4 linked regions of the Caenorhabditis elegans genome follow. The protein of the gene in region 4 purifies or fractionates together with the protein of the main gene of each other region. This does not show direct contact. Each region holds a gene or a part of one and is shown on either strand. Other genes may lie near its edges.

Region 1 (5,869 bases), on a different chromosome or scaffold from region 4:
TGAGGCGCATCCTCAATTATACGACCTTATAATTCGTCTCTAAAACAAATAAACGATCCGACGGCTTCAAAATAAGGTGTCATTTCGTGTGGAGACCTCGGAGTAACTAAGAAGGGCTTACTCTCTAACCTGGTAGTTTAAGTTTTGGACACTTGGTTCTGAGTAATTTGTGCGCCACTGTCTACAGTCGTGCGTGCATCAAGGAGTCACGCCTGAAGTCGAGAAGCCGTCCCGGCGGTCGCGCACTACGCAACGCACACACCTTGATCGTTTCGACCTTCGGGTGCCCAATAGATCCTAAAAAGATCGTTTTCGTCCTCTTTCACTGTATAAACTACCCTCCCCCTTTTTTCTTGCCTAATGTCTCCTCCTCGACTACTCCCGTTTTTTGCTAACCATCAAACCTCCTTAACTCAATTGCTCGTGCAAACGATCATCTTCGTCATATATATTAAATAATATGAAGTCCCACTTTTCAACTTCTCATCATTTTCCCATATCCGTCATTCAGGCGTAAGCTAGATTGATTATAGATTCATCTCACAATATTGACGATGCATTTTTGATAAGCCAAAGTTGGAATAGGAAATTGGGAACTCTTTGAAAAATGACCGATAATCAAAATTTCTCTATTTCTTTTTTATTTCTGATACTTAAAAAAAAGCGTCCTGTCAACACTGTTTTTTGAATTCTCACGTCTTCCTGCTTACTTCGCTCTCTCCGTTTTCTTCCCAGTATTTTTACAACCAAACCAAAACCAAAACTCTGTGCCATCTCTTTTCTTCCTCTCATGACCAGCAAAAGCAGCAAAACTAGCGAAACAAGCCTTCGTCGTTTTTTTCTCTCCCGGATACTGTAGCTATGTGTATGTGAGAGTGCTTTCCAATGTGTGCTTGCTTGCTCTCTCTTGCTGTCCCGAGGTTTTTGCTCCATCGAGAAATGCTCGCTTTTTTTGCTTCATCTACAATAAACTTCCAAAATCTATTTCCCTGATTTCCTTGACAACAAGAAATAAATTAAATTTTTTGTATTGTACTGAAATAATTTGATACGGATTTGTAAGATGCTCTCCTGCCATTATAGGATATAGGTTAGGCGGCCCCTAATGCTATTTTACAACCACCTCGTCAACTAGGTTCTGGTTTTTCGTACCTTGTGACCCGTACCTCTGAAGAGCCGTCACTGCCATCATTTCCTTTAATGTCTGTCTCAGCTTTTCGCAATCAACAAGAAGCTTGCCAATAACTAAGGGATTATCTTCTCGAAAACCACAGATGCTCGTATCGCTCGCTTCATTTTGTCGGATTAGAACGGCGTCTTGAAAGGAAAGGTATACCTTGCCACCTTGGATGTGAATATAGCTTGTTAACAAATCTTCCTCTACCACCTCCCTACTGATGTTATCATTGTATTGAAATTTCTCCTCTCATCAGTTATCTATTGTTAATCAACCAGCTATTATTGAAAATCGAGATTTTATCAGGTTGGATTTTTCATAGTTTAACATTGATTAGCTATCAAAGTTACCGTATACTTGCGGGTCTCATGTTTTTTTTTCAATTTTTTCTCCAGTTTTAGTAGATCCATAACTCTGAAAAACAACACCAGGAACAATATGATTTGATTAAACAGAGAAGTGTCGTTTCCCAAATTAGCCGCCCGAAATGTTGAATGAATAGACAAGTGTTGAATAGATTCCGAGACTCAGTCTCCAGCGCTTTGTGAATAGAAACCTCAGATTATGAGCAGTCGTTTTTAATGAGTGCTTGAAGAAAAATAGGTTAGTTGCTTTTTTCGAGAAATCAAGTTTATAAATTAAATATTCAATTTGCGATATTGACATTTTCAGATTTGACTTCAATTTTGAATTAAAGCACAAATGCACAAACTGTAGTTTTGAACAATCAGAGTTTTTTGCCGCCTCTAAGTATTTTCCGATTGATTCTAAAGCTATAACTGGCTGTATCCGCCGTAGCAGGTGTTCTTCTCTGCGATACATACAAGAACTTTAGAATCCAATAATGTGTGAAATTGAAAAGTGTATAGTAATACCACCATCTCTTACTTCCTATTGCTATTCCCGAGGTGTTGTTCTGTACACGGTCACCTGCACATAGTTTACTTTATTCGTCGACGTCTTCCGAATCATCAACGTCGCCGTTTCTGCTGCTGGTGGAGAAGCGACGGATTGAGAGAAACGTTGTCATCATCATGTGAAATAGGTCCCGCCAGGACATTGCGTCGGCATCATCATCATCATACAGAGAGTTTTGGTAACGAGGGACAGAGAGAATAAGCCACGCCCTGGAAGGCGCGCGATGATTGGCCAAGCGGTGTTAGACCCGCCCACCCACAGTTGTCTGTGCACCTCTCGTCGGCGCCCAATCTCGTGAACCTCTTCCCCATCTTCCCTTCTTCTTTCTCCTGTCTTTTCTACCTCCTTCTCTTGCGCGATTCCCGTTCAAAATTCTATTGTATTTCATATTGGTTGTCTTTTGCAGTGTCCGGTCGACGTGTCATATCATTGTTGTTTAACAAGATGATGATGGATCCGGATTCAGCAAAAATGCAGGACTACTCGGGTTGGTCGTTTGGATTTCACATGCCACCAACATCTTCAACAAATCTTCTCCCGCAGTCAATGCCAGATGATTTGTCAAATGGGCCCGATAGCCCTGATTCAACAGGAAAAGACGGAAAGAAGAATGACGACAGGTAAGATATTCAGGTGGCTCTTCTGTGGAAGTGTTAACATCGAAACATTGTTCTATTCATCTATTGTTTCCGTTTCAGAGTGAAAAGGCCAATGAATGCATTTATGGTTTGGAGCAGAGGACAGCGGAAGAAAATGGCTCTGGTAAATTTTTCTTTCATTTTCTAACCTACTGTTAATTCCTGACTTTTTAAAATTGTATCTGATATAGTTTACTTTCACACTAAATCAATCATTTCCCACACTCTTCTATTGCATTCCTAATTAGTAAGACACAGTTTGCGTCAACGATTCGATTCGTGACCTTCTTGATTCACTTATGTCTGGAGAATCTTCTAATATATGCACATCGTTTTCTCGTTTAGAGTCTCTGATCCCTTAACTCACTTGAGTTAATCCTCTACATTTAAAATTATTTTTCTCATATTGCATTGAAAATCTGGAGAAAATAAGTATTTAGGTTCTATTCACAGAAAGTTTTAGTCATATTACCTGTGTTCGCCTAAATTTCAACATTTCGAACAGCTTGAAAGCAAACTGCATTTCACGTATCTTACATATTATATTACACTTTCATTATTCTAGGAAAATCCAAAAATGCACAATTCTGAAATCAGCAAACGTCTTGGGACAGAATGGAAAATGCTCAGTGAACAAGAAAAAAGACCATTCATCGATGAAGCGAAACGACTACGCGCCATTCATATGAAGGTTAGTTGGGGAATCTGGGTCGCCTGATACTAAGCTTATTGAATAGTGCCATCACAATTTGTTCTCTTCAGGAACACCCAGACTACAAATACAGACCGAGAAGGAAGACAAAGTCAATTAATAAGAAAAATGGAGCACCAATTCCATTTGGAAATTTGGACACAAAAACGCCATCTGTAAGTTTTCCTTCGATATTGAATACTTCATATATCTATTTTCATGTTTCAGTATCCGACGTTAACAACCAACTGGAATGCGACAAATCAGTATATTGATCAGTTTCGGTTTGCTCCGTACCCCACAACAACTGTAATGGATCAAATTCCATTCTCGTTGACATACCCAGTGCATTCGGTCCCAACTGACAACTCGTCGCCTTCGCAGTTCCAGCCATCTCCGATGAGCACAAATTTTGCTGGCAGCTACCTGACACCAAAATCAGAGAGCTCGCCGGTTGGCAGTGATTCTACAGTCGGCACCGTTGACTCCAGTCAGTTTCGTGCTTACTACGACCACACAAAGGATCAGATGATGTATCCGTACAGTATTGAATTGACTCATGCTCAAAACATTCAAAATGCTCTTTCCCAATCCCATGTTACCTCTTAAACACACTTCTCGAAAGAAATTGACCTTCAATTAGTTTTTTTGGTACAAATTTCAATACTCCATTAATTTTTTTCAAAACGGTTTTTGACTTTTGAAACATCTGAGCTTTTTCAATTCCAAAATCAAAATCTGAGGCAGTTTCAGAGATGTGCATTGCTAAATGACTTTTTACCTCTTATTCCCATTTCTCTCACAAAAAATTCAATGTCCCGTGTAGGGTGATACGTGCCCAGAGGTTGTTTCACTTCCCCATTTTTTCTCCCTTTAAAATTTTGCCAACACAACACTGACTTGGTATTTGACTGTTTTTGAAATTCTAATCAATATGTTTCGTATATTTGTTTCCTATGTCAGTTTTTGTGGTTTATCGGAATTCATTTTCTCCGTCCTGATTCTTGATAATTCTCACTGTTCTTCGATTTTTGTTTGCTCTCTTACCCATTATTTGATGCCACTTGTGTCAGCCGTCATTTTCCACGTTTCCCCAGTTTTTTAATCCATGCAACCAATTTATTGCTCCTAACTCTCATCACCTTCAGTTTTATTGTATATTTCTTTCTTGAAACTCCAATAATTATTCGCGCTTAGAAACCTATTTAGATGCGTCCCAACTCATTTCTGAGGACCTCATATTTCAGTTTTGCATTCTGAAATACCATGTTCTAAAATTTAGATGTTGATACCATCATATAAGTTTACAAATTTTTAATTTATCCATAAAATGTTGACACCCAAGCTTAGATCTGTAAAACCAAACGACTAAAAAAGATTGAAGCAAGAAGCAGTCAGTTTCCGGAGGCTTCTTTTTTTTCACCCAGATTTGATAAAAAAGATGCATTGGTATTTTTACTTGCACACAACCAACCAAAAGTGTGTTCTTTACTTGATTTGGTCGTTACCGAGAAGTTTATTTTGTTCAAACAAGCAATGGTGAAGTGAATGTATCAGAGGCAGACGAGAAGAAACCGAGAAGAGTCAACGAAAACTGTGCATATGAATTTCGCGAAATTGTCAAACATCGGGTTGTTGGTTGTCTCGTTTTCTCGATTCGATTTGCGCCTCGACACATACACACATACATACTGTTTCTTCCTGTGTGGTGAAGTTGGGTTGTGATGGAATCGGAATAGGGTGGTCTCAATTCCTCAACTCAAACAAAAATAGCCGGAGCTGCCGCCGAGCAGTGTATGATCGAATTTCGGTCGTCCACAGTCCGGCTCCGTGGCTCCTGAAGCACGCACGCGCGCACACTCTCATACTCATACACCGAAGTACGAGGTTTTGATTGCTGTAGGGAGATTTTGGAAAGTCATTTGCCCGCCAATCTTGGCCAGTGGAAAACAACGGGAGACTGACGATGCCCAACCAATTTTGTCCCATATTCATATGCATGACTTTGGCAAAAGCAGCACAAGTGCCCCTCAGACCGCACAGCAGGGGGCGTTCAAATAACTGACTAATATTTTTGGGAGCTCTGTAAGTTTTGGATGTAGTGAAGCTTTGGAAAGGGGGCAGTCTCTCATTTATTTTTCTGCTGCCTCCTGACTTTGGCTCGGCGTCATGATTGACTATCGTACACCTGAGCCAATTTGAGCGCAAGTAGTCCACTCACACACTCTCACTCGCTCGTTTTCTTTTCCACATACACACATGGGTGAAGCTTCCTACCGTAGTCTATCCCGGAGAATTTAGAGACACGAGACGCCGATGTGAAAGAGTGTTGTGCTCTTCGGGATAGACAATGTGTGGATTGCAGAGAAGTGTGAAGAGCCGATTCTGGAGAAGAAGAAGCTGCCTGAAGGTAACATTTCCGAGAGAGGGGGTCTCTGGAAAACA
Region 2 (5,798 bases), on a different chromosome or scaffold from region 4:
CAACTTCCGAATTTTCAGAATTGAACGTTGGTCAATTTCAGTTTTTTGCACCTCACAGTCCCCCTAACTTCTAGGCAAAAAATAAATCTTACTCCTCCTGTTCCACATTCTTCAGTTATCAATAAAACAGAGAGTATCGTCCCTAAATAGAAAGTCATCTATATACCAATTTAATAGTAAAATAAAACTTCTCCAAAAAGCAACAACCTTCCTTCCAAATGTCATAAAAAATTGTAAAAACGGTAAATGATCAAAAGAAGAAGAAGGCGTCGGAAACACATAAAACTTCATCCCCTTCTCCCAACAACGACGTCTTCGGGTCGCAACAAAACATTAAGAGTTTCAAATTGAACAAAAAAATTGAAAAATAATTGCGAGAATTAGCCAAAATTAGAGAAAAGGAATGAAAATGAGGGGGTGAAAAGGTTAAGTACGCTCTAATAAACATTACGAAAAAGGCAGCAAAAAACGAAGAAGGAGGTGGGTTTAACGGAAAAATTAAGACGATGTCAACGATTGATTATTGACAAAAAGGGCATGATTTGATTAACTTTTCCGCATATTACAACTAATTCGAGTCGATTGGGACACGATGTGTCTACAGAGGAAAGATGGAGGATACTGTAAATATGATAACGGCCGATTGAGAAAGGGGACTATGATTGTACAATTAGAGACATAATTTGAAGTTTTCAAACGAACAAATTAAAACATCGAAGCAAAACGACAACTTCAAGTATTTAGATCAAAAGATCCAAAGTAAATCCTGTTTCTTCAAAAAACACTGGAAGCAACAAATTTTGAACTTTCTAGATATCTTCAATTGTTTTAATATAATTTTGGGTAACCACACAAAATGTCGCTGTACATTAACTGTATAAAGTAAATTTCAATTTGAAAATTTTTAAAGTGAATGATTCATTTCTTTGAGAACTGGAAGACTGCTCAAAATTGGATATTTTTAGGCTTTAATTTTTTTAAATTAAAATTTCCAAAAATATTCCAAAATGTTTGCATACCCCTAGAGACCTTTACAATTATAATTTTTTCCGAATTCAATTTAAGAGCAAAATTACGGTCCTCCAAAGTAGTAGTAAATAGACTCGAAAAATCTGCTCTCAAAAAAATTTCAGCTGAAAGTTAAAACAAAAAATCTCGTCAAACTGCTCGGAAAATCAACGATATTTCTTAACCAACTTTAGCGTTTTTCTAGGTGCCATTTACGGAAGTGGCCGAAGTTGGCGAAATTTGGCTGAGAATTTGGTGACGAGTTGCCTTTTGCAGCTGAAATCTTTCAATTATCAGATAGTACTGGATTCAAAGGAACTACCCAAACTTTCGTTCGAGGCGAGAATTACATGACGCTATCTATTTTCAGTTTTGAACTGTTTGATTGTGCAAATATCGTAATTGAGCCCCTTAAAATAAAGTACTCTGGTAACTGCAACTCATGAGCAAAAACTCAAAAACTCTTCATTTTTATCATCTTATCTGTGTGCGAGTCAGTTGGTTTGATATCATCCATTCAATAATAGTCTCATTCATTCTCTTCTCACGCGCTCATAAAGAGTCCTCCAATGTTAATGAGTGTTATCCAAACGCTCCTCCTCCCCAAATATCTTTTTTTTCAACTCATCTACCTCTGCTACCATCAAAAATCCATAAAATATATGAGATGATGATACTCTGCTGGTCCTCAAATACACACTCTCACACACACATTGTGACACACACACATAATGTTTCAATTTTCGTCTCCATCGTCCAACCAATTCATATTGCTTGTTGAAGGAGGAAGCTCTGATATTGCACACTATTTCTCTCGTATTACACAAAAACACTATAATAAATGATCGAGTTTCGAGGGGAGAAGACCCACAGAAGAAGAATTCTGATTCGCAACAACAACGTCTTCATCCTGCCACTCTAAACTTCTTTTGTGTTCGATCATAAATTCGATTTTATGATGGCTCGACTCGACTCGTGTCGAAGGCGGCGGCTCGCGGACCTCGAACACAATAATGTTGCCACTTGAAGCACAAAAAAGAGAGAATCAATAAGGCTTTCAATAGAAAAAAATAATAATGGGCTCAGCCAATGGAAGAATCAGCAGAGAGATGAGATGACAATAAGTCTCAAGTCTCACACACAAGAGCACTTGTTCGTCACAAAAAATGATTTGTGAAGATGAAGCCGAGAGCTGATGGTGGTGGTTTAGAGACAACTGATACCGGAAATTATGATACAAATGATACACTTCTTTTCTCAAAGATGAATATAAAATTTTTTTGAGCATACGTGCCTGCAAGGCAACCTCGGCCTAATAGTAAGCCTATATATCTTTAAATAAAAAAAGGTTAATCTTAAATTTCAACATGTTTATAGAAAATATACGACTGTAAAATTTGTATGCACATACACAGGCAGAAAGTACCAAGAAATATTCTGCATACAAAGTCATGCTCTAAGAGACTGGGTCTTCACATTCATCGAATTGTCAACAGCTGTTGAAATGTTTGACAGTACTGAATGGAAAATTAAACTTTTATTGTCACAGGTGAAATATTTGTGAAACTCGTTTTGGTTAACATTATCTACTAAAAACTTTCAAAACAAATTTCAGTCTTGCTCTTTGAGCTGGACACCAAGTTCAAATTGTCAAATTGTCATCCCCTTTTCAACATGCTCTCATCCTTTCTCTCTCATGTCTGTCTGTCTCAGAACTTGCCAAATTGATTGGTTTTCTTTTTCTCCGAAACTCTTTCTCCCTTCCCCTTGCACTCCCATATTTGGACATTTTCTCTCTCTCTCTCTCGTTTCTCTGCTTTCTTGCTCTTTTTTCTCTCTCACTTTCTCCTCATAGTCGCTTATGATTGGATGGAAATGTGACGGAGGGGCGGAGCAATATGAAAAGATGAATGGAAATATAATAAGTGTCTCTGGTCTTCGGGAGGAGCTCTTTGGACTACGGTAGGTTTTGATTGGTTATGATTGAAAGAATCGAAGGAAAAGCATTGAAAAAACACTAAAAATGAGGTAAGAAGATACGAAAGAGATAGAGATAAGAGATATGTTATCATATTTGACAAGGTTCTGTGTTGGAAACATTTTAATGAAAAAGTGTTCCTTGAAGTGGAACAGATGTGACAGATTTCTCATTAAAACTTAAAAAAATGAATGAACGAGAAATATATGATAAATTATATTTAAATGAAAATGCCAAACTAGGATGGTTTTGGTAATATTAATTTTTTTTTAATACTGGTTTTCTAGCAAATGTCTCGTCCGAAACTATTCGAAGTAATATGAATAATATTGATAAGTTGATAAGAGGAATTGACATTAAAATTGTAAATTTACACCAATTTATTGTCTCCTTCCAATTTTCATTACTTATGTCCCAAAAACCCATAAAAACTAGTGATAACTGGTTTTTCTAGAAAGTCTAAAAACCTTCAAAAATGTAGAACTAAAATGATTTTGAAACATTCCAAAAGTGCGTTTTAAGTTTTAATATTCAACTTTGTTATTTTCGCAGAAAATTTCAAGATTTCAAGGTCGATCATCATCGCCTTGTTTCATTTTCTTGTCTTTTACTTCATTAAACACCCCGCATTTTCCTCTCATTTCCCTCAACTTACCACCAGACATTCGACGTGGTTTTGACTGTTTTCTGCGGGATGAAACCGCGGCCATCTCGGCGAGCAGCTCATTCATCTGGAGCTCTGAAAAGTTGAAATTACTAGAAGATGAGCATGATAGGCAAAGAATGAAAGAGTAATAGTGGACAAGAAGAGGGAAAAAAGCAGAGAAAAGGATACAAAACAACACACACAGAGAAAAGAGACAGAACAAAAACGATTTATATTAGAAAGATGAGAAGGCGACGGGACAAGGGGGCACATATTGCGAAAACAAGGCTATTATCAAAATTTATATTATTAGAGTAAAATGGTAAAAGTATTGAAGACACGAGATGGCAGTAAGGGAATGGGAATGGAATTCAATTGACGATAAAAAATTGAACTTTAAAATAGAGTCATTAATCATAAATGATATTGCTCGAATGAGCTAGTTATCGAGCGGCGAGCCTATAGTCTAAATTTGCCCATAATGCATTTTTGGAATGAACATTTTTGAATTATGCACCGGCTCGCCATTTGTCTTTGCAAAAGTTACGAAATACTTGGTTATATGACTGGGTTTAGGCCGCACCCAGATTCAGCCCAAAATTGATCTAACTCTTTTCAGCGTCTCAGCCAAGTTTAAAACGATACAATACAAGTTTCACAACAGCTAGATAAAACGTGAGTTTAATTTGGGTACATCATAAACCAGGACTTTCTCAAGTTTGCCCCGAGCTTTGTCAGTTTTTGAAAGAGTAATTTTTGGATCAACCATAGGCAATCAGTTCGCGCCAAATGACGAGTATAGCCGCAGAAGAATCTTGAATCGGATGATTTTTTTCGAGTGTAAATATGAAATTTTGTTGTTCATGGTTGGGTAAAGAAAGAATATCTCAAAAAATGATCAGGGGAAGGTAGTGAGTGATGATGTGAGTAAGTGAGGGTGTAGAAGATGAAAATCGTATAAAATGAGTGAGTGAGCGGTTCCCCTTTTCCATGAGGTGGATACGGTGTTGCAATTGAAATAGTTGGAAAAAAAGGATGGAAAAAAGATCGGATCGGTATGAATATAAAGTGCGAGATGCGGTTGAAGATTCCGTTAAATTTGGTGGGGTCTGAGTTCTGTTTGTGTGTGTTCTACAGGCTTTTCGGATTATGAGTCATCAGATCTTGTAGACTAGAATTATTTTAGGTTGAGTTGTAAAGTTTGATTTCTAAATTTAGATAGGAAATGAGGATCGGACGTTTTCAGATACAAGCCTTAGTGCAAAGCTAACCCAGAAATTTGTTATAGATACATATATCGCTATAAAGTGACAGTGTCCCTTTCTCGCAAATTGTGGCGTCACAATTAGTTTCTAGTACAAATCATTTTTAAAAATCATGCTCGACGCCAGACTACAGAAAAAATGGTTGCTCCGTCTTGCAGATGTTAAGCTTCTGTAAGTGAGCTCTGAAAGGTGTTAGCTGAGATATTAAAAATAACATGGCAGGTTGAAATTGTTTTATGTGAAAATGGAACTACATTATTGAAAGTTCTCAAGAAAGTCTCAACCTCAGAACTTGACTAAAAAAGCAGAAATTTCTAAAAATGGCAAATCAATGAATGAATAACTGAATTACTTGCATGATTTGTTGAATGATTGATAAAACACTAATTGAATTAATGAACACAGTCAACCCCAGAAAAAGTCTTTTTTTTTCTCTCTTCATCAGAAGACGTCGTCGATGATTCGAGACGAATTTGATGATAATTGTCACCCCCGTGGTGGTGGTGGTGAGGGGAGACATATTCGATTCGATTCGCGCCAGGTACTCATTCTTGTACCTGACGCTCCGGGCGCCTGTGTGAGGGACGAGATATGATCTGGTAAAATATGAGTTGTTGCAAAAGAGAGAGAGAAGGCGACCGCCACGGGAGACCGACACGTCTTCTCCCTCATACATGACTCCGCCCATTTTGTTCTTTTTCTTTTTCACTCCGTTTCAGAACTGATAGAGATGCAAGTAGTTTGGGCCCCCGGCAGTTCCGAGACCCAAAAGCCCCGCCCACTTTTAAATTGCCCATTTGAGATAGTGAGAACGAGAAGTGAGAGGGTGCAGAGAGGCAGAGATAAATGAATTACTACTGTGTGGGGCTCTCGATGATGATGAGGAGAAGCCTCCCCGGGC
Region 3 (7,219 bases), on a different chromosome or scaffold from region 4:
ACACATATCATCAATTCAATTAATCCTACAAAAATATCTCATGAAAAAAGGTGAAAATGTTCACTTTTTGAACATTAGGATTCCCGCCAAAATATTTTCAAAACATTAAAATTTTAATTCCCGCCAATATGTTTCACTACGATGGGTCTCACCACAAAGTGTCTCACCACGAAAGGTCTCACCACGATGGATCTCACCACGAAAGGTCTCTCCACGATGGGTCTCACCACGATGCGTCTCACCACGATGGATCTCACCACGAAAGGTCTCTCCACGATGGGTCTCACCAGGATGCGTCTCACCACGATAGGGCTGTACAACCGGACGTCCGGTGGTCCGAACCGGACGCACATGCGTCCGGTTGGGGGCAGCTATCCACGACGGCCGACAATTTCCGAGTTTCGCCACTCACTATAAAATTGCTGATTAAGTTTAGTGAGTGGCGAAACTCGGAAATTGTCGGCCGGCGTGGAAACCTACCGCCAAAATATTTTCAAAAAATTAAAATTTTAAATTCCCGCCAAAATGTTTTCGAAAAATTAAATTTTGAATTTTCGCCAAAATATTTTCAAAAAATTAAAATTTTAAATTCCCGCCAAAATGTTTTCGAAAAATTAAATTTTGAATTCCCGCCAAAATATTTTCAAAAAATTAAACTTTTAAATTCCCGCCAAAATATTTTCAAAAAATTAAAATTTAAATTCCCGCCAAAATGTTTTCGAAAAATTAAATTTTGAATTCCCGCCAAAATATTTTCAAAAAATTAAAATTTTAAATTCCCGCCAAAATGATTTCTCAGAAAATTTGAATTTCCCGCCAATTTGTGATGACGTCACAAAAGGGGCGGGGCTATAGGACCCCTCTTAGGTGATTGAGACTACAAACTACAGAGTTCAAAGACCAAAGATCAAAGATCAAACTACATAGGGACAGAAGGACACGCGCTTTATATATAGTAAATGATTTAATTTTCAATATTTTTAACATTCTTTGAATAACATTCTTTGATAAAATACACCGATAATTGCAGAGATAGCGAGAGCGAGGAGTGTGATGGATAAACGTGAGAAGTCAGGGACCATTTGATGGAAAGAATCATAATTAAGGGGCGAGGTACGTTTTTCTTCGAAAGAAATTAGGGATGTAATTGAGATAGAAAGGCTTGAGTTGGAAATTTTGAAAGTTGATTTCGGGAAAACAAATGCTAAAAATGAAAATTGAAAAAAAATACAGAAAAACAGCATTTAAACGCTGTAAAAAACTAATAGAACATCATAAAAGAACGTTAAAATTTGAGGAAAAATCCTAGAAAACATATTAGAAGGCACCATTGTTGGATAAATATTTAATTAGGAACGTAGGCATCAAAAATATTAACCAATGTTTCTAATGAAAAGAACCATGTGTACTTGAGGAACCTGTCCTTTTTGTATTCGTTTCTGTAAAACACACTGTTCATTGATGATTCATTGATCCTGAATAAAACTCACGCTACATGACAATGAGAGCAGAAGGGGTACGAATCTACTGATAAGTCCTCTGTGGTGTACCATCTGACAATGTTGAAGATTTCAGATGTACAGTATTTACATCGTTGAACGCGATCAGCAAGCTTCCATTCGCTAGCGTCTCCAACAATGTAGTCATGATGATCAATAAGATCAAAGTACCACTTTGAATGGGCAAGTGATCTGAAATTAGATTGAGCATTGTTTAGAAAATAGCAAATTTTTATTATCATATGTACTAACCTGATCATGACACCGCGCATGGCTTTATACATCTCGGGATCGTCGACGAAAAGCCTCTGACGTGCAGCATTCCAAACGAGATTTACCAATGGAACATGCGCCTGGTTCCCAATGAGCATATTGTGATCGTGAGCCACTATTGAGGTAGCCAGCTGAGTGAAGTTTGGCTGTCCGACATTCCAAGATACATTGATGCAGAAGCTATTGCTCTGCACCCAATGGAAACATCCAGTATTGACATATACCATCTCGTCAGCTTTTTGCTCGAATTTAATTACAGGAACTCCCAGCTCCAGTAATTCCTTTTCGCTTGGCCAATAGTCTTGATCCTGGTACTTGTGCCCGTGCTCTCCAATCATAAACTCCAGCTGCCCCCAATACTCGTACGGCACAGCAAACCAGACGCACGTTCCCGGACCGCGGTTCCAGTTGATGCTAGCCATGAGTGAGTTTTCCATGTGTGCTGGAGTGCGTGATCCGATTGGTTTCGCGTACATCTGTACAGTATTGATGCCGAGAACGTCTACTCCTGCGTAGTTGAGCAAGTTTCCTTCACGGTTTGGTAGCAGGAACGTCGGCAGCTTTTCGATTTCCTGTAAGAACATAGAGAATTAGATAAATTATTTTGAAAAATGTAGAATATCACTAACATTCATCTGCTTCTTGAAATTTTCGGAAAGCAAGTCGATATTTGTTCCAAACTTGATCCAAGGCATTGTTTCATCACAGCCCTCAATTGCGTTTTGAGCTGCAATTCTCTCAGCTTTCAATTTCTGGCATGTGCTCTCTAATTCTTTTGCTGTGCAGTTTGAAATCGTTTCGAAAGCTTAAAAACAAAGATTAAAAATCTTATGTTCAAAAGTCAATATTACCTTGCATTGCTTCAGACTCCTCCTTCTGCATGTACCTCTCGAAATCTTGCAGCTTCATCTTAGAAGAGTACGATGTAACATCCCAACAACGAATTCCTTTACTATCACAGTTTCCATCGGCACTTTGTGGTACTTGGTTAAGAATATCAATGGATAATTCAGGATGACACTTTGCAATTTCTGGCAGTGAAAACAGTTCAGTCTTGATGTTCAGAGCCTTTGCGATTCCGCTAATGTTGGTGATGCTCGCTGAGTTCAAAATGCGCTCAAAATCCGACGAGAATACTTCTTCTTTGGTGGTGACTGTGAGAGTTGGACATGGTATGCGGTATTTGTGATAGTCAGTAAGATCTTTGACTTGCTCGTGATACATCGCTCTTTCCAGATCCAAAAGTGTCTTATCGGCAACCGGAGGCTGTAGTCGTTCATCTTTGTAAACGGCGTTGACATGAAATTCGAGTAATTGACCTGCCGCTTCGAGGACTTCTTGTGATGTACAATAGAAGTTGAGATATAATGGTCCAGTTAGCAAAAGGGCTGGTGGATTGGCAGGAACTTCACTTTTTCGTTTTCCTTCTCTTCGCTTTGGCGGTACTACTACACGAATGGTAAGATCTTTCAAATAATCCTGACAATGTCGATAGTTTCCTTGATCCGGGAAAATTGTATTCAGCTGAATGGCAGCACGCATGTAGTGAGAATCTTGGGTTTTCTGAAATATTAGTTTTTGGTTTTTTAACAATAATTTTCAATGCGGACTGACTTGAAATTGAAGAATGAATTTGTCAACTCTGTCTTGCCTTGATTTCGACAGTTTTACTATTTTATCATTCTTTTTAGACATGAAGTCACGAACAAATATCAACTGCTGAGCCATAGTCCAAGCCCCAGAAGCATCACGAAATTCAATTTGATAATTAATCGTCCGTCTTTTTGGTGGTCCATCATCTTCCTCATCGTCAGATTGGTTCTTTTTCATGCGGCGTTTTCGGATCTGTAAATTATGCATTAAACTGAGAATAGATTAGTTATGAAATTTACCGTATTTGGGTTTTTAGTATATGCTCTTTTCGTCCTGGGTATAGGGGGTTCGGTTGCAGATTGTTCCTTCTTCTTTCGACCACGCTTTTTTATTGGTGTAGGCTCCCTTGTTGCATCAGAAGAGCATGAAGGAGCGGAAGAGTCCAATCCAATGTCAATCGACGTGCGGGGGCAATAATCATCTACACTTCCTGCATTAGATTCCGTTTGATTAGCCACAGAGGTTGTTTCTGTAAATTCGCTTGAAGTAGAAGCAGGTTGATAATCAAGCGATTCGTTTTTAGGACTCCATGATTTTTGGTCATCGTCAGAAATTTCTGAATCTCCAGAAGTTGTCCCAATCGAACTTCCGACACTGTTGGTATGCTGCACAGGCACAGGTTTCAACGTCGTTTCTGAAAAAAATATTATCGTTCAGAAATTAATAACTGGTAACTGTTGCTCTCACCATTGTCACTGAGTGATTTCTCAGTTTTCTCCGAGATCAGTTTTTCAAGATGCTGATTGTTGCCAATTTGTTCAGTCATATCAGAGAGCTTGTCGTTTGAACCACTGCCAATGAGAACATCAGGCGTTTCGACTTTTTCCAAATTTTTTGGTTTTGAAACTACATTGCTGTCTGTAAATGTTCCCAGTAAGTATTAGAATGTTTCCAAATTAGTTTAACTATGTATTTTGTTTCAATTTTTCAAAAGCTATCAAAATCATAGTTACATCAAAGAATGAAAAAAATATTTTATACTTAAACAATCTACTAACCATTCATAATCACATCGCCCGAAATGATTTCTTCAGAATCCGTAGAAACGTGTACTGTCGGGAGAACAACGTCTTCAATGTTGCACTCAGTTTCACTATTGATCAAATCTTTAAAATCTTCACTCTCATTTCCTTGTTCTGAATGGGCCTCTGGGCATGCTTCGAAAACGCCATTGGATTCTTGGAGCTGATCAGCAAAGTTATCAAATCCTGCAATTCGTATAGCCTCGTTGGTAGATCTGCAATTCTGGTCAGTAGAACTCTTTGGAGATACTGTCAACGATTCAATGGGAAGATTTTTCTGAACATCTACAACCAGCTCATCCTTGAAACTATCGTTTTTGAGTGGATTCAACACAGTATCAGAATACACGCCAAGGGTTTGATTTTTAAAATCAAAGCTTTTAGGAGCATCTTGCTCTTGATCAATAGTCTGAGCTTCCGGTTGCTTGGTCGAGTTGAATTCTACTGGCCTCATGGTGGAGTTCATTCCGGGAAATGGTGGAGTTTCCTGTGAGTTTTTAACCAATGACATACTTCTTGGGCTTGCTCCGAAAATAGTAACTAAACATAAGTAGTATAAGATGAGGTAGCAAAAATTGAAAAGAGGAATGCTGCCCGCGTTTTTAGGTGTATAAATTTGCGGAAACGTGCACTCGTGCTTAATTAATTAGATACCTTGCTTGTTAATCTTTAAATATCAAAGTCATATCCGTATTAAAATATGACTAATGTAATTGAATCTTATGTAGAACTTTCGCATGAATGCACTAATCTTTTCAGTTCGACTTTTGGTCGCCAACTGGTCACTATAGCAAAAATGCAAAGTAACTCACAATGTGTAGTTCCAGTTATTCCAGTCAAGTGTGAATTTTTCCCTTGCATACGATGGTAAATGCTGGGGAACAAACTGTAAATATGAGTTTATAGGTGGGTAGGTAGATCCAAGAAGCGATTATTGAAAAAAAAAGAAAACAGTTCGGACAAAAAATTTGTAAGAATTTAATTAGGCACGTGAGAAAGCCGAAGTTCTAGTTAGGCACTTCAATGATAATGACGTAGATAATTAAGATGTAACTGAAAAGGTGCCAATCTAAAATAAGGGTTTAAGTTTACTCAAATACACATGTATAAACCAGGTCAAATCCATTTATTGAATCAAGTTAATCATGAGGAGATAAGCAGGAAACACGATGCGTAGGTGAGAACATTGCCAGGCTCTGAATAATTTTTTAAAGCTTGAGTTGAAGTGATAAAAGCAGATCGAAAAAGCAAACATTTTAGTTTGATTAAATCTCAAATTTAGAATCCCATCAAACTATTAATAGAGAGTACGTGCACATTTGTAGACATTCCCGGATCTTTACATAACTTAAAGTACATATATCTGCCCTTTTCATGAACTTTGGCATTATCTATGCATTCACAGTATTATTGGTTAATCCAGCTGCCATTTCATTTTTGTCTAGGGTTAATTTTAGAAAAGAAACACAACTAGAATACAAAATACAACAAAATAGTAAACTAGCATTTACAGTAGTTTTGTTTACTGCCCATCCCACGATGTCAATGAATGAAGTATGGACGAACGACGTCAAACGAGGAGGTAGAAAAGATAGCGTGGTTTTTTTTTCGTTTTGTTTTTGTTGTTGACGGGGCATACACTGACTAGCTATAGATGGCTGTGCGTTGTGCACACGCACGTAAATAAATATCAAACGAGGAACGGCGCTCGAGGAAAAATAAAGAACGAGACGTTGCTTCTCTGCTTGCTTGTTGGTTAGATATATTGAGACTAGCCACGTGTGAAAAGAACGCAACACGGCCGAACACGCAATCTATTTGGCTCCAGTCGAGTAAATAACTAAGCTCGTGAGAAGAAAGAGTGAAGGGACTAATAAGATGTGGCCTGCCCAATATTTAATGTATATGTCATGTTGTCATTGCAATACATTCACAAATCTACTTTTGAACATTAATTAGACAATAAAACTGAAATTTGCTAGGTTCTTTTGAATCAAAAATAAAACAATTTGAAACAACACGTGTGTGAAATTGAAAAAAGTACACCGCTTTTTTGGTCTAACATATGAAACTAAGTAGCTTCTTTTAGTGTACAACATATACGTTTTTGATCAAACTAATCAAGATAAAAATAGTTAAGATTAATTATTTTCGCAACATAGTACGTTTTCCTACTTTCTCCTACTAGTTTGCTCAAAGCTATTTTCAACATGGCATGGAGAATTTCAATGATTTGCTTTACTTTATGAAATTATCTGCATAAAAGTATGCGATATACGGTATTGTAAACGTAGCCAAAAATTGAATGCCTATCATTAAATTGTGCGACTCATTCTTTGGCGCGGTGCGCAAAACAAACGGGGTGATAAAATATATTAGCTCATAAAGCAGTGAATTTTTACCGTCCCTTTTCATTGGTTGGCCTATTTGATGTTTGATTCAAAAAAATGGGAAGAAAAACGGATGAACGCAATAAATTGCAACGGGCTAGCAGAAGGCGGTTGTATGTGTGAGTGTGTGTGTGTGTGTGTGGCCTGCTTCCATCGACCGAGTTGACCGCCATTGTGGACGAGTGAAAGCGAGAGTAGAAGGCTTAGGAGCACTTTGCGAAAGAGCACATGAATTGAAGAGGGGAAGAGATGGGACCACCAAGAGCGATGTAGAGAGCGCAAAAAAGAGGGATGAGTGAAAGTAGGATTTTTTTAGGACATAAGGTTGTACAAGCGTTTTAGCTTTTTAAACTTTTTTTTAAAGCTTTTTTAAAATAGGTAG
Region 4 (4,714 bases):
GCAGAAAAAAAACCCTTTTGAAATCCACGTGGAAACGGGCTAACGATGGGTCTCGTTAGGTTTTTGGCGGCAAAACTGGATGTTCAAAAGTTTTCAGTTAGTTTCCCCGATTTTCAAGCATTTTTCGTTGTTTTTAATGATTTTTATGCCGAGATTTATGAAAAAATTTATTTTTTGACATCAAATCATTAAAACCAATTGAAAATGCTTTGAAATCGGGCAAGAATAATTGAAAAATTCGATTTTCGGTTTCTTAACCTAAAGAGACCCATAGTTCAGGGGTGGGGCGTTTACTTAGAAAATCTGCGATTTCTTACAATTTTCAGATCTTCTTTAAGATTGGGATTATTTGCAATTTCCTCAACTAGCGTCGAAATCTGTGTAGCCCGAGTTGCCATTCTAAAATTTTCAGCCTCAATCCAGAAAAATAAAATTAAATCTGAAAATCAAATAGAATATCGAAATAAAACGAATCAATTGAATGATCATCTCAATCATCCCACGGAAATTAATATTTATGGATTTTTATATTAGGAAGAATATATAAGGAATGACAGAAAATACGAAGTTTCAGAAAAAAAAGTGTCTGGCCACCGCGCCTCTATAATCAAGGAATATAGGAGATCAAGAAGGAAAAGCATATATACACGGTGACCAAGGGGTAAATATAAATCAAATTTTCGAAATTTTAATTAAATTTAAACAATTTAAACATCCGAGCGCCATATATGAATCTTGTTGTCTGGCTCGAGAGCTCCTGAGGCAATGATGTTCTGAACTGGATGACAATCGGAGGCTAGCACGGGTTCTGAAATGGAAAAAATTTAAATTTGCATTTTTATTTTATTTTTCGACTTACGTGTGTGTCCTTCAAGACATTGAACTATTTCCCGAGTCTGGAGATTCCAGATGTAGATCTTACAATCTTCGGAACCACTGATGATCCATTTTCCACCGGTAACAGAGAAGTTGGCGAAGATGCAATATTTGCTATTCTCGTGTCCAGTGTATTGTTTCAGGGTTTTTCCTTTCGAGAAATCCCACAATTTCAAAGTGCTGTCGAGGTTCGATGCGAGGATGTATTTTCCGTTTGGAGAGAACTTTACAAATGCCACCGGAGGATTCTCGTCGTCGACCAGAGTCTTGATGCATTGCCCATTGGCAGTGTCCCAGATACGAACTAGACCATCGTAGGATCCCGATGCGATGAGGCTGCCGTCTCTGTTGAAAGACACTGCTGACACTGGATCTGAGTGTGCTGGGAGGGTTTTTATGCACATTCCTGTCTTGACATCCCAGATACGAACGGATTCATCGAATGATCCGGAGACAACGAGCGATGATTGTGGGTTGAAATTGCAGCAGAAGACGTAGTTATTGTGTCCTTTCAAGGTTTTGGTCATTCTCGACGTTACAATTTCGAAGATTTTCAGTGTTTTGTCGTCGGAAGCAGAGACAACACAACGGCTGTCGGAACTCCATGCTATATCGTTTACACCCAGTTTGTGGCCGGTGAGCTGAAAATTTAAGGATTAATTGTAATTTTCATGAGCGGAAACATACAGTTCGCTCACAAATCATGTGATCCATGTTCCAGATTTTGACGGTTTTGTCCGCGCTGCTTGTTCCGAGATACTTTCCACATGGGGAAAATTTAGCTGAAGAAATCGATTTTGTGTGTCCTTCCAATGTACACATCAGCTTATAATTTGCTGAACCCGAGGCTGAAGCTCCGGCGGCGTTTGGATTGGGAGTTTGGGCACTGGCACCTGGAGCGGGTGTGCCAGTCGGATTTGATGGCGAAATTGAATTGGGAGAAGTCTGGAAATTGACTATTGTGAAGTCTTATTCAAAAATATACTATTTAACAATAACGAAACCTACAGATGGAGCAGGAGCTGAAGAACCTCCATCCGGAGCATTTGGTACTGTTAATTGATCGATTTGTTGTGTTGGCTGTTGCTCGGCAGCTGAAGCAGCATTTTCGCTGGTATCCATATCTGAAATCACAGCAAAAATCAAAAATTAAGTTGAAAAATGAAGAAATTCATTCAAAAAATATAAAATAGAAATCGTCGTAAGATGCAATGTGCGGTACGCAGAGGCAAGGGTGCATGCACAGCGAACACACAATTTGACGCGCAATGTTTTTGCAGTTTTTTTTTCGGAATTTCTTTTTTTTCGTTAATGAACTCATGTCATGACATGTATCCGTGTCTGATACGTGTTAAAATATTTATATATTCATTCGATTACAGATATAACAAACTTTTCCAGTCATACAAACACTTTATAAAACAGTTAAGCGAAAAATTGTCGGTGCATTATTTAATCTTCCTCGTCTTCATCTTCATGACGAGCCACAGCGGGAGGAATTCCATACATGTGACGACCACGACGAAAGAGTGGCATTCTAAAAACTCCGACTCTTGGCGGTACTTCATCATCGTCATCATCCTCGTCTTCAGCGTTAGGATTCTCGTCTTCATTGCATTTTTCGGAATCAACAGCGAGTGGTTTAACTATTGGCTCATCAGGCAGAATAACTTCGACTTGAATATTGGCAACTTTTGGTCCGTAGAATCCTCTCCAAAATTGTCTATCTTCACCTTCATTCAGAATAGTTAAATGTCGAATTCCAGACGGGTAATCGTCAAACTCAATTGTCCAATCTTCCCAAGGTTGACCAGTCCATTGAGCCCATTCCTTATTTACAGATTTATATCTTTTATGATCAGTGTTGCTCATAGTTTGTACATGGCCAAATCTTTCAATCCACTGAGTCTCGTGATAGTTCAACTGAGCAGCAAATGAGAGCCTGGCTGCACAATCATTACGATGATTGACTTTCTGTGTAATTCTAATTCTCGGGCGAACGTGATCCAAGATCCATGGGTCAATTCCAGAGTTCACCAAATCGATGAAAACACTGATTGAGCTCTCTGTGAATGAAAATACGAAGCACTTGGAAACATCCGGATGTGGTTCACAACCGTTTCCTCCATCTCTTTCCATGTGGATTCTGAAATTGTAAATATTGATTATTTTAAGAACAAAGTATTGACATACCCACTGCCATTCGCTCTGATTGAAAAATCATCTGAACGGAGAGTTCCACTTATTGTGTTGTCACGTGCATTTTCAAAATGAGAAATGAAAAGCGGAGTGATTGGTGAGTAGCCTCTTCCAGACAGAACCTGAAGTAAAACTTTGTAATTTTATTACTATAAAATGCGATAACCTACTATTTTTTTAATATTAAAATTAAAACTTGAAGTGTCAATTTCATTGTCTTCATTTCCAACAAACTTCTTCTGTGTCGCTGCTCTTCTCCACTCCAAAGATGGAAGAACATTTGATATATTTAAAATTCGAGCATATTCAATCCAAAACGAGTCACTTGATATCAAATCATTGAATCGATGGCAAGCCAATTGGCAGTTTAGAAGTGATTTTTTGTCCAGCCTTCGGAAAATTGGCGAGAAACATTCGTTCGGCACAGTTTCTGCATCTCTGAAATAATTCTAGGTGAAAAATTGATATTTTAATTAAGAAAAAACTCACATTATCACTGGAACATCGGTTTTGAACTGTAGACTTTGCATTATCGATGAGAACGCTTTAAACATTTGGGGTCGATGAGAACAATATTTTTCGATTTTAAAGAGAAGAAATGAGTCAGAAGGAGAGAGACGCAGAGAATGGAAGTCTTGCGAAATGCGCATGCATGTGATATTCGTGTTCCAAAAAACTATCACGCTGTTAATATTATTATTTTAAAGCAAAAATATTAATAAGAAAATATTCAATGCTATTTTGAGAATGAGAAAAAAACTTTCTGACAAAAATATTGAGAACCTCTAGATATTCAACTTCTTTATATATTTTATTTTTTTCCTCATCTTGCTGACTGCAACTTTTTAGATTAGTTGATATATATTTGTCTTTCTCTTCTCTTAGTTTTACAGGTTACGAAACATTGATGATCTTCCTTATCCAAAGATACGTGGACAGCAAGAAATAACTTGTCCCACTTTCTAGGTTATCGCCGCCAATACCAAGGTCAAGCAATTCATGTTCTTCAGATTTGTGTTTCTAAAAAGGAAAAAAAAACGAATAACCGTGTTTATGAAGAAATACTCGTGCAATAGGAACCTGTCAAATTGGAATAGATTAGTGATGCTATTTACAAAAATTTTGAACATGAATTAGAACTAGTGATTATCATCAAATTCCGTGGATAAATCACTGCGGAGATCAGGGTTCGGAATGGCGATTTGCTCATCCTCTCGGACTTCCAAAGCCATCTCGAAATCTTCATCTTGAACGGGACCTCTTGGAATCTCTCTTGTTGCAATACTGGTCAATGGGACATTATAGTCGGGGGAATCGTAGGCAACGTGTGAACTGAAGGTGTTCCGTTTCTTGCGCTCAGTTTTTCCTTCGCTCAGTGACATGAGTGCCTAAAAATTCAATTATCTAGCTTTAATCTTTAGTGTAATCATTTTTTACCAGCTTAATCGTGATGAAAACGTAAATCAGAGCAACGAGAATGATGTTGAGATAGACTGCAAACCAAATCCTTGTCGCCTCATCCTTCTTCAGATTTGTCATCAAGCCGTCCGACGATCTGCGCGACGTGGCCTAAAAACGGTTGTGTCAATATGACCCCTCCCACCGTCGATGTTATATACTTACTGTACTCTTTCCGAAA

The links.
Region 1: the proteins of wdr-5.1 (region 4) and sox-2 purify together in Caenorhabditis elegans (affinity purification with western blotting, with the first as the bait; one study listed by BioGRID). This does not show direct contact.
Region 2: the proteins of wdr-5.1 (region 4) and sem-4 purify together in Caenorhabditis elegans (affinity purification with western blotting, with the first as the bait; one study listed by BioGRID). This does not show direct contact.
Region 3: the proteins of wdr-5.1 (region 4) and jmjd-3.1 purify together in Caenorhabditis elegans (affinity purification with western blotting, with the first as the bait; one study listed by BioGRID). This does not show direct contact.

The regions. Positions count from the first base shown.
Region 1 is NC_003284.9:7,457,181-7,463,049, reverse strand, and holds sox-2 (Transcription factor sox-2), read left to right. Parts: upstream 1-2,501; 5' UTR 2,502-2,539; coding exon 2,540-2,715; intron 2,716-2,793; coding exon 2,794-2,857; intron 2,858-3,298; coding exon 3,299-3,424; intron 3,425-3,495; coding exon 3,496-3,600; intron 3,601-3,652; coding exon 3,653-4,033; 3' UTR 4,034-4,768; downstream 4,769-5,869.
Region 2 is NC_003279.8:7,036,827-7,042,624, reverse strand, and holds the start of sem-4 (Spalt-like protein sem-4), read right to left. Parts: upstream 3,726-5,798; 5' UTR 3,718-3,725; coding exon 3,642-3,717; intron 1,985-3,641; exon of another isoform or gene 1,914-1,984; intron 1-1,913. UniProt on the Caenorhabditis elegans protein: Transcription factor, involved in positive and negative modulation of transcription. Binds to multiple DNA sequence motifs in the regulatory elements of target genes, including homeobox selector egl-5 and LIM homeobox mec-3.
Region 3 is NC_003284.9:8,569,163-8,576,381, reverse strand, and holds jmjd-3.1 (Lysine-specific demethylase jmjd-3.1), read right to left. Parts: upstream 5,334-7,219; 5' UTR 5,309-5,333; coding exon 5,260-5,308; intron 4,988-5,259; coding exon 4,424-4,987; intron 4,284-4,423; coding exon 4,113-4,283; intron 4,060-4,112; coding exon 3,665-4,059; intron 3,618-3,664; coding exon 3,387-3,617; intron 3,336-3,386; coding exon 2,624-3,335; intron 2,578-2,623; coding exon 2,402-2,577; intron 2,345-2,401; coding exon 1,752-2,344; intron 1,692-1,751; coding exon 1,491-1,691; intron 1,440-1,490; coding exon 1,346-1,439; downstream 1-1,345. UniProt on the Caenorhabditis elegans protein: Histone demethylase that specifically demethylates trimethylated 'Lys-27' of histone H3, a mark associated with transcriptional repression, thereby playing a central role in the histone code.
Region 4 is NC_003281.10:3,702,571-3,707,284, reverse strand, and holds wdr-5.1 (WD repeat-containing protein wdr-5.1), read right to left. Parts: upstream 2,001-4,714; 5' UTR 1,999-2,000; coding exon 1,885-1,998; intron 1,822-1,884; coding exon 1,564-1,821; intron 1,518-1,563; coding exon 860-1,517; intron 809-859; coding exon 708-808; 3' UTR 501-707; downstream 1-500. Other genes in the region: dph-1 (2-(3-amino-3-carboxypropyl)histidine synthase subunit 1), read right to left, coding at 318-398; C14B1.3 (F-box domain-containing protein), read right to left, coding at 2,329-3,022, 3,070-3,197, 3,246-3,513, 3,565-3,629; C14B1.2 (Conserved plasma membrane protein), read right to left, coding at 4,215-4,463, 4,513-4,644, 4,699-4,714. UniProt on the Caenorhabditis elegans protein: Contributes to histone modification. May position the N-terminus of histone H3 for efficient trimethylation at 'Lys-4'. Required for di- and trimethylation, particularly for the trimethylation at 'Lys-4' of histone H3.